2 linked regions of the Danio rerio genome follow. The protein of the gene in region 1 interacts with the protein of each later gene in a pairwise test. Links are inferred from orthologs where the notes say so. Each region holds a gene or a part of one and is shown on either strand. Other genes may lie near its edges. The genes, in order: pex5 and acot8.

Evidence for each region.
Region 2: the proteins of pex5 (region 1) and acot8 interact in binary tests that used the Homo sapiens proteins (3 or more experiments, as listed by UniProt). The link is inferred for Danio rerio from reciprocal best matches to the Homo sapiens genes PEX5 and ACOT8.

The regions. Positions count from the first base shown.
Region 1 is NC_133191.1:12,443,582-12,451,234, reverse strand, and holds the start of pex5 (peroxisomal biogenesis factor 5), read left to right. Parts: upstream 1-3,816; 5' UTR 3,817-4,615; intron 4,616-6,155; 5' UTR 6,156-6,199; coding exon 6,200-6,313; intron 6,314-7,653.
Region 2 is NC_133186.1:1,591,151-1,598,625, reverse strand, and holds the start of acot8 (acyl-coenzyme A thioesterase 8), read right to left. Parts: upstream 4,029-7,475; 5' UTR 4,020-4,028; coding exon 3,886-4,019; intron 3,746-3,885; coding exon 3,609-3,745; exon of another isoform or gene 2,218-3,608; intron 1,806-2,217; exon of another isoform or gene 1,396-1,805; coding exon 1,170-1,395; intron 1,090-1,169; coding exon 932-1,089; intron 585-931; coding exon 393-584; intron 61-392; coding exon 1-60. Other genes in the region: phactr3b (phosphatase and actin regulator 3b), read left to right, coding at 7,077-7,170. UniProt on the Homo sapiens protein: Catalyzes the hydrolysis of acyl-CoAs into free fatty acids and coenzyme A (CoASH), regulating their respective intracellular levels. Displays no strong substrate specificity with respect to the carboxylic acid moiety of Acyl-CoAs.

The sequences.
Region 1 (7,653 bases):
GTCAATAATATTACTGTAATTAATAAAAAAACTAAATAAATTTAGATTTAGGGCGAGGCAGTGGCGCAGTAGGTAGTGCTGTCGCCTCACAGCAAGAAGGTCGCTGGTTCGAACCTCGGCTCAGTTGGTGTTTCTGTGTGGAGTTTGTATGTTCTCCCTGCCTTCGCGTGGGTTTCCTCCGGGTGCTCCGGTTTCCCCCACAGTCATGTGGTACAGGTGAATTGGGTAGGCTAAATTGTCCGTAGTGTGTGTGTGTGTGTGTGTGTGTGTGTGTGTGTGTGTGTGTGTGTGTGTGTGTGTGTGTGTGTGTGTGTGTGTGTGTGTGTGTGTGTGTGTGTGTGTGTGTGGATGTTTCCCAGAGATGGGTTGTGGCTGGAAGGGCATCCGCTGCGTAAAAACTTGCTGGACAAGTTGGCGGTTTATTCCGCTGTGGCGACCCCGGATTAATAAAAGGACTTAGCCGACAAGAAAATGAATGAATGAATAAATTTAGATTTACACACATTTACTCAAGTAAATAAACATAATTAATTATGGGCTAAAAATCTACAGAAATCTGCGGAATTCTGCGCTCGCAGATTCCGGGTGGGCTTAGTTATTACGTCTCTGAGTGTGCTGCATTCATTCATGAGTAAGACTTGGTTCAAACCAATCAGCGCACTCTATTGTGTATGCGGTGCAACTTCATTAATATGCATGATAGCTTCCAAGACTGTTTTGAGAGTTGTGTAGCCTGTTTTTACCAGTTATAGTGTTCAGATGGCAGAGAGACGCTGTGTTGTGTTGCCAAGTGGGAGAACATAATTTGTTTGGAGATACGGGTCGTCAGTGTTGTTTTTATAATGTGCTGCAGTGAAGGTTTTGTTTTAATTTTCCCTTTATGAGAGCACTGCTGGACTCACGTGTGGATTACAGTGCACGCGACGTGCCATAGAAATACATGTCTAAGGAACATTGTTTACCCGAGAGCTTTTCTCATGTGGAAATGGTGAAATCTGGAATTGCCGCTTGTCTCCTTTTAATAAAGACGCAGAACCAGTTGGTGTTGATTGTCCTGTCTCTACATATTTGGTAAGTGAGCGACTAGTGGTCCTTGTTTGTTTACTCAGAGGTGAAGTTAGTTCGTATCGTCAGCAGTACTCTTTCAGTGTTTAAAGACAGACCTTAGTCATATGATTTCTAAGTTAATAAAGTTTACCGTATGTTAATATCACTACAATATTATGGACTGAAAAATCTGCTGTAAATGCTGCTCTCCCGAGTGTAAACGTGCAAGCACCACAACCAAGGTTACCGTCATGGAGGATTTTTGCTGCATTTTGTGACAGGAATAACACACACGGCTTTCTGACGCTACCTACAGAGTGCACCTAAGTTTCAGAGAGGGGTTTTTTTCTCTTATTCGTCATGCTGTAACAAACATTGCATGAAACATACACGCTTCCAGCAATTCCTCATTTGTCATGAGGGGCATGAATGAAATTCCTGAATGAAAGAGCCAAACTGCAGTTAAAGTCCACTATTTAATAATTTGGCAAATAATTTGATTACTGATAAACATAGTCACTGTCTTTCTACTCTGCGTTTGTGTGTTTGTTTTGCCTGTGTGAAAATCAGCACGTGCCCAAACCGACACTCCCATTTTTGTGCAAATTTTTACGGACCATGCCTTTTTCTCTCCTCCGACACTCCCCTAAACAGAGCTGGACACGCCCACTTTCCTGACTTTTTCCAAAGTAGAGGTGTAAAAAACCCTGCCGAAACAGAAGGGTTTCATGGCCCTTTAAGCACTTTTTTGTTTAATTAGCTTGTCGAATGGTCATCAGAACCAAACTTTTTGATGTACCAAAACATTTCCTTACAAATTTGTAAAAAAAAAAACATAACAAAAACAATTGTGTTAGCGAGATGTATTTAATAAAAAACTGTAACTTTTTGTTATTTATTAACCAAATAACATTCTGGCCACTACATTCAATTTTACTCAGTTTGAATAAACAAATAAATAAAGCTTAACATTTTTTTCTACATTTTTCTTTTGTAAAAAAGTTCAATTGAAAATTAATGGATAGCAATAGTCTGATTATTATTAAAATTAACCCTAACTTTAATATTGACCACCTTTGATGCTTTACACCTTTTTATTGATAATTTTTTGTTTCACCAATAAGGTCCAAGATTTGGAATAAAAGTTACTTGTAAAATGTTTTCTGTATTTAACAACAGTACAGTCAGTCAGTAGTGTAAGATGACTTAACTTTCTTCAGATTGTGGCACAGCTAGATGTTGGACTCATGAAAAACAATTGTTTGCATTGATCAAAACTGATAAGCTGAAGTGACGACAGCCAGCAGAGGATTCTGTTTGGTCTTAAAGCCTTTTTCGATGGGTTATTTTCAATATTTGTGATGGAAAAGCAGTCAAAATATGTCAAATGAGCTCATGTATGGGACAAATTCTGCACCTTTGTCAGTGGAGGGTGGGTCTTTCGAACCACCCAAACCCCCCCGGCTATGGGCCTGATGTGTGTGTGAATGAGTGTGTATGGATGTTTCCCAGTATTGGGTTGCAGCTAAAAGGGCATTTGTTGTGTAAAACATATGCTGGATAAGTTGGCGGTTCATTCCGCTGTGGCGACCTTTGATAAAGGCACTAAGCCGAAAGAAAATGAATGCATGAATAAAACATATAAGATAATTCTGCATAATTGAAGCAAATATACTGAGGTTTGTCTGGGTTATGGCTGGAAGGGGATCCGCTGCATAAAACATATGGCAGAATAGTTGGTGGTTCATTACGCTGTGGTGACCCCTGATAAAAAAAGGGACTAAGCCCAAGAAAAATAAATTAATGAATACTGTGGTTTAAGTCTTAAAGTGCTCTGAAATTATTTATAATTTATATTAAAAAAAAAAAAAAACATTGGAACTAAATGCTATTATTATATGGTAAAAAACATCAAAATTAGAGTCCTCGAAGAGTATGATGTGTTTAATAAATTAAAAACAAGACATCTTTGTTGTTTTCACATACAGTAAATTAGCTGCAGTCACAAACTTTAAGAATAAACATCACATAATATCATTGTCTAACATCAACCAGGAGGTTACCTTTACTTTAGCAGAGCGACGTCAGCATAAATAACAAACAAATCAATAGATCAGCTAATATTAGATATTATATTTAGTGTTTGTCTGCCATCCTTATACAGACATTTGAACCATAATATATTTAAACTATATCTAAGTCATTTATTTTCTCACTTTTTGGTGTTTTGTTTACACACTAATAAAGTTTAAGTGCCCTACACTGAAAAAAAAATTAAAATAATTCCTTGGATTTACAAAATTTTTTAAGTTAAGTGGTTGTAAACAATTTATTTGGTTCACATTTAAACAAACAAGTTAAGTTGACCATTAATAAATAAAATTTGATTTTTTTAAATTCACCACATATAAATTGTTTGCACATCTTTTTTTCAGGGTAGATTGACCTGAGTGTTTTTCTACAACGTTGTAGCCGTTTATTGATAAACTAATTCAAATAAACAAGCATATTATTAAAATAATACACAACTTTATCTAAAAAAACAAGTAATGCACAAAAAGGAATTCATTTAAAATACTGTACAAAACCATTTAAAAGCACATTTCCTGGATGATAACAAAAGGATACCATCCTGTCATTAAGACATGCGCTGTCACTTTAGGAATTTTACGTAACTTCAGCGTAAACCTGCCTACATCCGTCGTGACGCTTGGCGTAGCTCAAAGCGCCTGCCGTCGCTCTTTACGCAAATGGCGTTTGTGAATAGCCGGAGCGTAGCGTGTAGGTTCGTGTGGCTGGTTCGCTCCTGTTTCACTGGGCCACACGGGGAAGGTAAATAAAGACAGGACGGTCACCAGCGCAGCATTTTTAGCCGTCAGACCCCGACAACTAGAGGACCGTCCACCGCTGCCGTGTCTTTAGGGCCTGCTTTCCTCGGTCGGGTTTGGTCTTTGTTTTAACCGCATTACTCACGGGATAAAAGGCGAAAGAGAAGAAAAAGAGGTGACAACGTCGCCTGTGCAGGTGAGTGGAGTTTATTTAGCTTGTAAGCTAACTGTCTGCAGTTGAGCTATCAGCTTTATCCTTAACCATTCAATACTAACGCTACGCAAACACGACTGCGAATAGTTGTGGATAACGTTGACTGCCGTTAGAGGAGACTCATCACACTCACTAATGTTTCTGTGCTGAAGCAAAACTGACAGCAGATCAGTGCAAAAGTGTCTAGTCTGACTGTATCCACTGTATGTTATCAATGACCCGATGACCATTCAACCGGTGCCCGTTCATAACCCAAACTCTCTTGCTAGATTCACTAATTAAATTTTGTCCATCAATTCTGGCCAGCAGGTTGTTTTGGGATTATTGCATAAGGACAGTAAGTTGGTCGTTCACATGCAGTCTTGGTTAATTGTTAATAGCTGTTTTCAGGAACAATGAAATCTGTGTAATCCTTCTAGTCTGGATAAGCTGATGGAGCATATGTTTATGCCAGTGGAAAGGTGGCTCAGTCCGCTGGATTTATCTCAAGCTGATGATTCATTGTGTCTGTTTTATTTCATGCCAGGTAAGGTGACATAGGACTTAAAGGCAGATATTCATACAAACAAATCACCTGCTGAGATTAAACTGTTTACAGTAACTGTTATGAATTGTTATAGATTTTCTGCAACCTTTGGGTTACAGGTTAGTGGTTTTCATCTGTAGAGGACCAGGACCCATAGATGCACTCTGCATTTCTCTAGAACAGCCTGTAAAAATGATGTAAAATTGTTTATAAAGTGTTTGTTATACTTAATAACAATAAAAAAACTTTACTGCAATATATATTACCTCTTGTGTGGTATTAGTATTCTGTATAATCTGTTTGTCTCAAGGGTAAGAAGGGATACACCTTCACTAAACCTCCAAAACGAAACAACTAATTTATTTTCGGTCTGCACATCTGTTTTGCATGAAGAAGCAACCTCATGATCCATCAAAAACTCTGAATATCTCGGTTTTCCATCGTCAGTGTTTTATTTAACAGACTATTTAAATCGTTGTATAATATTCAAGTAAAGGTTTATATTTTCTAAGGTTTGTGTGTGTGTGTGTGTGTGTGTGTGTGTGTGTGTGTGTGTCTGTGTCTGTGTCTGTGTGTGTGTGTGTTATAGCTAGCTGATCAAATTTGACCCCATAATCCTTACTTTGTATCCTATAGTGTAACAAAAATAATAGAAAATGGTTACTTTTTCAAATGTTGGGATCATTTTATATATATATATATATATATATATATATATATATATATATATATATATATATATATATATATATAAATAATGATCCCAACATTTGATCCCAACATATATATAAACATTAAAAAAAAAAACATTTATTTTTTTCTTGTGTTAAATTGGTCACGGGTCTTTTTTTACCTCATGTCAACACAAAGCCATTGTTTTACATTAGGCACTGTAATGTGGTTATCCTTCAGGCTAGAAAACTGTCATTCACTTAGTAAATTTGTAAAAGGAGAAAAAATATTGAGCTGTTAAAATAATTATTTATTAATGTTAATAAATTGGGATTTGGACTTTAGACATAAAATAGTCTGCTTAATACTCCTTGGTTATCATCTTTTCTAAACACCTTGTTTAACTCCAGGCCAAAGGATGATTTACACTGCAACTTGAGCAACACGTTATTTTACACTGATAGTGAAGTCAAATAGTGATGCAAATGCAAGAGTTGCAGTAAATATAGGAGACAGTTTCATGAAAAGTCCACTCAGGATAGAGAGAGTTGCAGTCAGCAGTATATAATATGAGGATGGTAGAGCATTTATTTCAACTGGTTGTATGCTGTGTTTTTGTAATAAAATGAAGAAGAACATTGACCCAGTTTAAAGATTTAGGCTGCTCCTTCATATTCAGGACTATTTGTTAACCCTGGGTAAATTAAGTGCAGTGTGAAACATGAAAATATTCCAGAATGCCATTATCCCAATGGTTTGGGATTGGTAAAAAGATTTAAAAAGGTCCCAGACTACTGTTCGAAACTTTTAATGTCACATTTTTAACTACTTCCATACCACTCAGTGATGATGTTTCATTTACTTATAGATATCTTAAGGTGCTAGTTTGATCCAGCCTGAGGGTGTGTTGCCATGGCGATGCGGGAGTTAGTGGAGGCGGAATGTGGGGGAGCCAATCCCCTCATGAAACTGACTGGTCACATGACCCAAGAGGGCGGGGCTTGGAGACATCGATCAACGCCCACTGTAAGTTACAAAACCTTATTTTTGTAATCATGACTACATGTTAAGGGCTGAGACCAAACGATGTGCTGATATATTTGGTGACATTGGTTATGTAAATGGATCAGAGATAAAAAGGTGTTTTCAAGCATCAAAAGCTTAAGCTCATTCATTGGAATGAGAATCATTTTAGCCTGATTTATGCAAGATAGTAGTTTATATAACAAAATAAGCTTGTCAGGCATATTTAAGCATCACAGTGCAGCTCCAAAATGTTAGTCAGATCTCCTTTTAAGTCTTTATGCTTTGCCACTATACCTATTTGTTAGCAGTTTTGAATCATTTTAAAGAACATTAAGTATGATCACTCTTATTCTTTTTTTTTAATGTATTTTTTAAAGTACAGGTGTAAATTATTTTTTTTTATTTTGCATAAATATATCTGTTTTGTTGATTGATGGAATATTATTTCACTTAGGTTGACATTTTATTTTTGTTAAAGTTATATGAAATTCTGAAGTAAACACTTAGGGAAAATAGAATCACCAACATATCTTTAACACAAAATATTGTATGAAGTGAATCCATTTGTAAATTAAGGAAATGATTACCATTTTGAAAACAGACATAATCAGGGTGTACATCTGAGATGTAGAATCAGCTACTCAAGGCGTACACACTCATATTTATTGAAAGGGGAACACCTGTGACTTGTGTAAGGATATATGGTAACACTTTATAATAACTACACACTATGAATCATCTATTAAGCATTAGCAAATAGTTAATTCTTTATATGTTAAGTATTAACTCTAAATAGACGTTAGTAAGCAGTTTATAAATTCAACTACAAATGCTGTATTCTTGACTTATAAGCGCATTTAAAATGTGCTCAATGATTGTGTTTTCATACTTAATTACATTTTAATTGTTCATTCATTCATTCATTCATTTATTCATTTTCTCTTCGGCTTAGTCCCTTTATTAATCCGGGGTCGCCACAGCGGAATGAACCGCCAACTTATCCAGCAGGTTTTTACGCAGCGGATACCCTTTCAGGGAAACATCCACACACAATCATTAACACACACTAATACACTATGGACAAATTAGCCTACCCAATTCACCTGTACCGCATGTCTTTGGACTGTGGGGGAAACCGGAGCACCCGGAGGAAACCCATGCGAACGCAGGGAGAACATGCAAACTCCACACAGAAACGCCAACTGACCCGAACCAGCGACCCAGTGACCTTCTTGCTGTGAGACACCAGCACTACATACTGTGCCACTGCGTCGCCCATTTTAATCGTTTATTACTAAATTTAGTATTGCATTATTTACAAATTGTGATGCAATTTGATA
Region 2 (7,475 bases), on another chromosome or scaffold:
AAGCTGCCAGAACTCCATCCTGTCTCCACAAGCGGCCCTGGACGAAGCCTCTGCTGCCTCCTGAAAACAAATACAGACACTTGCAGATTAACCCTTGTGTGCTGTTTGTTGTTTTTATCCACTCTGTGGTGATTTTGAGTCTTAATTTGGCCACAACGTCCTTTGTGTTTCAGCAAATGGAATGATTTTTGGTAACAGATCTTTTTTTTATTGCATATTTTGGGAAAAAAAACTGTTGTTGTTGTTTACCCAGACATTTAAAAAGAATATATTTTAAAGCAGTAATCGCAATACTGTCATATATTTATGCAGGTTTATCCTACCGTTAGAATCTTACATCAACTCATGCCTAGTCCAGAAATGAGCAATAATGCAGAGAAGCGTCTGCTGACCTGACCAGGGGCTTTCACACTCGTACAGCATCCACTCGTCTGCTCTGAACGTGCTGTGAAACCACATGGCGTGATCCAGAGAGGCTGAGAACTGCGACCTGTAGTTTGGGTACGGTAACAGCGCCGTCCCCAGGAAAGCGTAGTCGGACACATACGCTGCCACACAGCGGTGCAGTTTCATATCGCCAGGTCCTACAACAAAAGCAAGAAGGTCGCTGGTTCGAACCTCGACTGGGTCAGTTGGCATTTCTGTGTGGAGTTTGCATGTTCTCCCCGAGTTGGCGTGGGTTTCCTCCGGGTGCTCCGGTTTCCCCAACCGTCCAAACACATGTGCTATAGGGAGATTGATGAAGTAAATTGGCAGTAGTGTATGAGTGTGTGTGTGTGAATGAGTGTGTATGGGTGTTTCCTAGTACTGGGAGGGCATCCGCTGCTTGAAACATATGTTGCATAAGTTGGCGGTTCATTCCGCTGTGGCGACCTATGAAATAGAGACTAAGCTGAAGGAAAATGAATGAATAAAATGGTGCATGTTTTACCTATATATCCTCTGGCTCGCACCCAGATCAGTGTTTTTGCCTCCATAGCAACACGTCTGAAGAAATCCGGTGGATTGACTGGCTTGATCTCTATCGGAACTTCATCAGCTCGTATTTTATTCAGACCCTGCCGAGTGTTGTCTGCCAGATCCGGTTTACTGTAAAACAAACCAAACACAAGGATGAGTGTGACATGCAGTGGTTTAATAATCAGTCAGTTTTTAATCCTGAGGGTGACCTGAGGAAGCGCTGTATGAGCTCCTCCACGGTCAGCAGAGTGTCTGGCGGAGGGACGCTGGGCATGCTGAACTGGTGCTCCAGAGGACTGGGCTGCTGCATGTGAAACGATGCCTGGAGGATGAGAATGGGCTGACCGTGCTGGATGGCCTTCACAGATCGCACACAGAAACTGCGGCCGTCGCGCGTCCTCTCCACCTGGTACAGCACCGGCACCTTCGGGTCCCCTGGAAAATATACAGGTGAAGTCAAAATTATTCGCTCTTGTGTGAATTTTTAAAAATATTTCCTCAAATGATGTTGAGCAGATTCAGGAATTTCTCACAGTATTTCTTATAATGTTTGTTCTTCTGGTGAAAGGCTTATTTGTTTTATTTGGGCTAGAATAAAAGCAGTTTTTAACTGTTTTAAAGCCTTTTTAAGGTCAATATTATTAACCCCTTAAGCAATATTAGTTTTGGATTGTCTCCAGAACAAACCACTGTTATACAATAACTTGCCTAATTACCCTAACCTGCCTAGTAACCTAAAGGAAGTTTATTTATAAACTAATTTTGAGAGGATCATGTGCTTAGGATTTATCACAGCCGGTCTCGCATTAGCTAATCATGATCTTCCAATCATATGATTTATAACCCTACTGAAAAAACCAGCTTAAACCAGCCTAGGCTGGTTGGCTGGTTTTAGCTGGTTGACCAGGCTGGTTTTAGAGGGTTTTTGGCCACTTCCAGGCTGGTTTCCAGCCATTTCCAGCCTGGTCTTAGCTGGTCAGGCTGGGAGATGACCAGCTAAAACCAGCTTGACCAGCCTAGCCAGGCTGGGAGTCCAGCCAAAACCAGCTATGTCCAGCTTAAACCAGGCTGGTCAAGCTGGTTTTAGCTGGATTTAGCTGGTCAGTTTCCAGCCTGACCAGCTAAGACCAGGCTGGAAATGGCTGGAAACCAGCCTGGAAATGGCCAAAACCCCTCTAAAACCAGGCTGGTCAACCAGCTAAAACCAGCCAACCAGCCTAGGCTGGTTTAAGCTGGATTTTTCTGCAGGGAAGTTACTATAAATAACGACAGTCTTTTGTGGATCCGTCAGCGCCGCTCAAGAGGCGTTGCTCGCTGCAGAAGTTGGGACTAGCTCAACTTTTCAAGCGCCGACGGAAGCGTCAGCCAATCAGATCGCTGTATGCAAATACACCAGCTAGACAGTGGCTGCGTCCGAAACCGCCTACTACTCAGTAGGTGCTGCATTTGAATTTAAACGTACTGCTCGGCCGTTAGAAAAGTACGTTGTATACAGTATGAACGTGAAAAGTATGAATGGAATTCGGACGCACTACATCCGCCATTTTGTCACGGTCACGTGACCTGCCTGCGTCAATTGCGTCGCTTACTCCCATTCAGGTATTCGCTCGCGGGGCATCATGGGATAGCGCAGCATGCATGGGATGAGCACTCTAGAATCTCGCCGGAAGTAGTAAGTCATCCGGGTACTTCTCGCATACTGTTTTTCGAATTCTATGAATTCGGACATACTACTCGGCTCGCATACTGATTTTAGCGTACTATATAGTATGGAAGTATGCGGTTTCGGACGCAGCCAGTGGCCTATTTTTGACTGAATTTCATTGGCTGACGCTTCTATTACGATCGTTTCATCCCCAACTTCAGACACGCCTTCAGTCAAGCGTTGACGCTGAAGCCCCGTGTGAATGGGGCGTTACACTTCCGCGCGCTTTTTCTGTTGTTCTGCAAGAACACTTCTGAAACGCTAGATGGCAGTGAGGTGATTATGTTATGTCGAGTTTCTTCACTGGTGTTTTGTTTTTTCTGAATGCTACCTTAATGTCCAAGTGGCTCAAACTCGCTCATTTTGAGGCAGGAACGAGGGGATGTGCAACAACTTTAATCATGAGGTAAACACAAAACAAAACTTTCCATCCGGAGCTCCCTCACGGGACTTCACACTTGTAAGTAATCGCTCCATCTGGCTCGCGCGGCTCTCAGTCCCACCATGACTCGTCAGCGCTACCATGCCGACTAATAACAGAGCTTGCGCCATGTAGTTAAATTTTTTTAGAGGTGCGCGTCAGCCACGCCAACGGCCACGGCGTAGGGCTATGCGTCAACATGTAGGCTGCGCCATAGCATACGAGTGCGCTTGACGCAGAAGTATAAATCAGCCTTTAGCCCCACAGCAAGAACACTGCCGGCCCAATTCACATGTACCTGTCTTTGGACTGGGGAAACCGGAGAACCCGGAGGAAACCCACGCGAATGCAGGGAGAACATGCAAACTCCACACAGAAACACCAACTGTCCCAGCCGAGGCTCGAACCAGCGACCTTTTTGCTGTGAGGGGACAGCACAACCTACTGCGCCATTGTTTCACCTTATAAAAGCAACTTTACCTCAAAATGCCTTAGGTGTCTTAGAAATAAACACAACATCACCTGCTCTGACAAAGTAGCAGTGCAGTGAATGAGCATAGAGGTGTTCAGCAACTGAGTTGGCTGCAGCTACGAGAGCCTGTCCCACAATCTGGCCCCCGAAGAGCCGCTTAGTGCGGGGGACCCAGTGGTGTGTCCCTCTACAGACAAAACACACGCTTTTAGTTAGTTTAATATAATGTACATGCAAAAAATATATTACTGACTCAATACAAAATGGTTATATAGACAGCAAATCTAGCAAACACGTGTACGTATTATAAAAAAATAATTTGTTTACCTGTACAGGTCGGTGTCGAGCTTCTCTAAATTTAACACACTTGTAACCAGGACACTTCTGAGGTCAGGTTCACTTGATTTAGACACACGGTTTACTTCATTACCAACCGGAGATTCACTACCGCGTTCAGCCATGTTTACTGTACTGTGCTAAAGGCGAATCTTTCGAATCGATTCCCAATGATTCATTTATGATGTTCGCGGAAGTACTCCATTGGTGGACTGTTACATGATTTATTTGTTGTAATACAATATCCGTTGGTAAATATTGTAAGTTGTTGTTAAATTGATGTATATAAATGATAAGTATTAGAGTCATTATGGGATAAATAATCGTTTTGAGTCATCAAATCAATGGAATCTTGATTCACTGATTCGAACTTTAGGACTCAGCGCACTTGAGGACCTCTACTGGTGAGCAGGCAGCTGGAAAATAGCTTTATCGTTGTTGTGTTATGGGAAAACGTACTCTTTTGCTTTACTATCTATCCTAACCAAGACAATTAGATTTATTTAATTAATTTGATTGTTCTGTTTACCAAATTTTACATTCATAATAGCAAATTCACTAACAGGAAACCTAATTGTATGGTTTTGTTGATTGAATTATGCTTACATATTACCAGTATGAGAGACTTTTAAACAAGAAAGTCTTAAAAACTTAAAAAATGTGTATAATTATAATGTATTTAATTAACGTTTATATTTATACACTTTGTTTATATTTTGTTTATACTTACCTCCCCTTGGCATCTACTTTAAATGTCTGTAAAATGTTATATGCTATTGTTTTTAAATAGAAATAAATGAAAAATAGCTATACAATATTCTTACCATCACATTTTGCTCTCTGAATGCAACTAAATAACCCATTTATTGCATGTGTACAGTGTTATCTGAAGAGAGTAATGTTACTTTTATTTCATTAAGTGTAATGTAAAGCTGGACTGGTTTACTTTTGCTCGAGTATGTTTTTGGCCAGACACTAAATTTGCATTCAGTATATCTGCACTTGAGAATAATCTTTGAGTATTTTTACCCCCTGCTTTTTTATCTCAATGCATTCTTGCTGAATAAAATTAAATCCTTAAAACAACAACTACAACTACTACTATAAATTACTCCACTTTTTTTTAAATGCAACATTATGGTTTCCACCAAACAACAATAAGCAGCAAAACCATTTTAACAATTAAATTAATATGATTTTATTTGGATTATCAGTTTTGCATATAGGTTTTTGGAGGATCATATTTGAAGTAATGATGCTAAAAAAATTATTCCAATCATTGGATTAATTTACAATTTAGACTGCTATACATACACAGAGACAAACATAGTTGTTTTAATTGTGAAATATTTTACATTATATTGTTTTTTGTTGTTGTTTGTTTGTTTTGTTTTACGCAATAAAAGCTAAGTTTTTGAGCAGAAATTAGCAGACTTAAAATAGATAATAACTCTATAATATTTGTTTAATATCAGAATATAGACTACTTGTCAGAATCAGTGTTGTATTTCAATGTTTGGTAAAATGTGCAGCTGCACTACCACAAAGAGCCCGCTAGAGGGAATCCCAGGCCAAGCATTCTGTACCTGTACGTTCACAGAGAAACCACTGTAATTAACGCTGCTGAATGCCTGTTAAATAATAAATAATTGCACTGATATAATTAACATCAACACACATCTAGCACAAATAAGACCATAAAAGGTAAAAAAAACAACAACATTAAAATATTGTGCATTGTTTAAATACCAACAATGCACAATATAAAATACCAGTTACAATCTTTAATAATAATAATAATAAGTAGAATCACCATCATCATCATCATCATCATCAACATCATCATCATCATCATCTTCATCATCATCATCATCATCATCATCATCATCATCATCATCATCATCATCATCTTCATCATCATCGTCATCATCATCATCATCATCATCATCTTCATAAATACTAATAATAATTATTATTATTATTATTAATAATAATCTTAAATAATAGTAACAATAAGAATAATAATAATATTTATAATTATCAATAATAAGAACAATAATATTAAATAATAATACTTATAATAATAATTATCATTATTATAAAACTAAAGTGAGTGAACGAAGTGAAGTGAAGAGAAGCATTTTTAGGTGACGATTATATGACATATGACAATTATCAATGCACATCGACCTTGTATAAAACCACAAACAATGACAAAATATTGACATTTCTAAAGCATAATTTAAATGGATAAATGCATAGGATCAATATTTTTATAAAAGTTTCATAATAATAATATTAGCAGGCTAATAATAATAATATTAATAACAATAAAACTAATATTAATATGCTAGAAATAATAATAATAATAAAAACAACAAAAATAGGCTAGAAATAATAATAATAATAATAATAATATTAATAATAACATAAATAAATAAATAAATAAATGAAAAAATATACTAATAATAATAATAACAACAATAAAATAACAAAAATGAATAAAAAATGAAAATAAATAATGATAACAAATAAATAAATAATGACAATAATAATAATAATAATAATAATTATAATAATAATAATATTAAAAAATAAAATAACAAAATAGCAAACAAATAAATAAAATAATTATAATAAAAACAATATTAATAATAATAATGACAATAATAATAGTAATAATAATGATAATAATAATAACAAACAAATTATACAAACAATAAACAAAGTAATTAATTAATTAATAAAAATAAATTATAAATAATAGCAATAATAATAACAATAATAATAATAATTACAACGATAATAAATGAAATAATAATTAATTAATAAAAATTAATTAAAAAATACAACAACAACAACAACACCAATAATAATTATAATAATAAACGAATGAATAAATTGATTAATAAAATAAATAAATAATAATATTAATTATTATTATTATTGTAAAAATAATAACAACGGCAAATAAATAACAAGAATTGAAAAAAATATACCAAATATGAATAAATCTAAAGGGATTGACTGTCATATCCTCAGCTGTCTCCGCGTCTTCAACTCGCGCATGCGCACTCGGGCTCTCCTCCTCAGCGCTGCTGTTTCTGTCAAACTGAATCTGCTCTCAGTCATTGACGCGCGCAGCTCGGCATTTCTCTCCATCACCGCGGGTTTCCTCCTCCATGGCCGCATCAGATGGACCAGAGGACTGCGTCGTGCAGAGAGGAAGATCTCAGAGCGACCCGAGCATCCTCACCGAGACTCGTGTCGTGCCAGGTGAGTCGAAAAACACCGATTTTCGCGGTATTTATGACTCGACATCTGAATTTATACACTGCGGAGGGGTGGTGGAGATACTGATGGCGTCTTCAGAGGAACCGCAAACATGATGGCATGACTGGCAAGATGTCTGTGCACATGCATTATGATGATGCAGAAGATGAAGAGCATCAGAGACTGTGTGTGTGTGTGTGTGTTCATGCTTCATGTCTGTGTGTGTTCTGGTGCTGAGGAGATGCTGTGGGCTTCCCCATGACTGATGGATGCAGGATATTGGAAAAATCTGACATTGAGATAGTTTG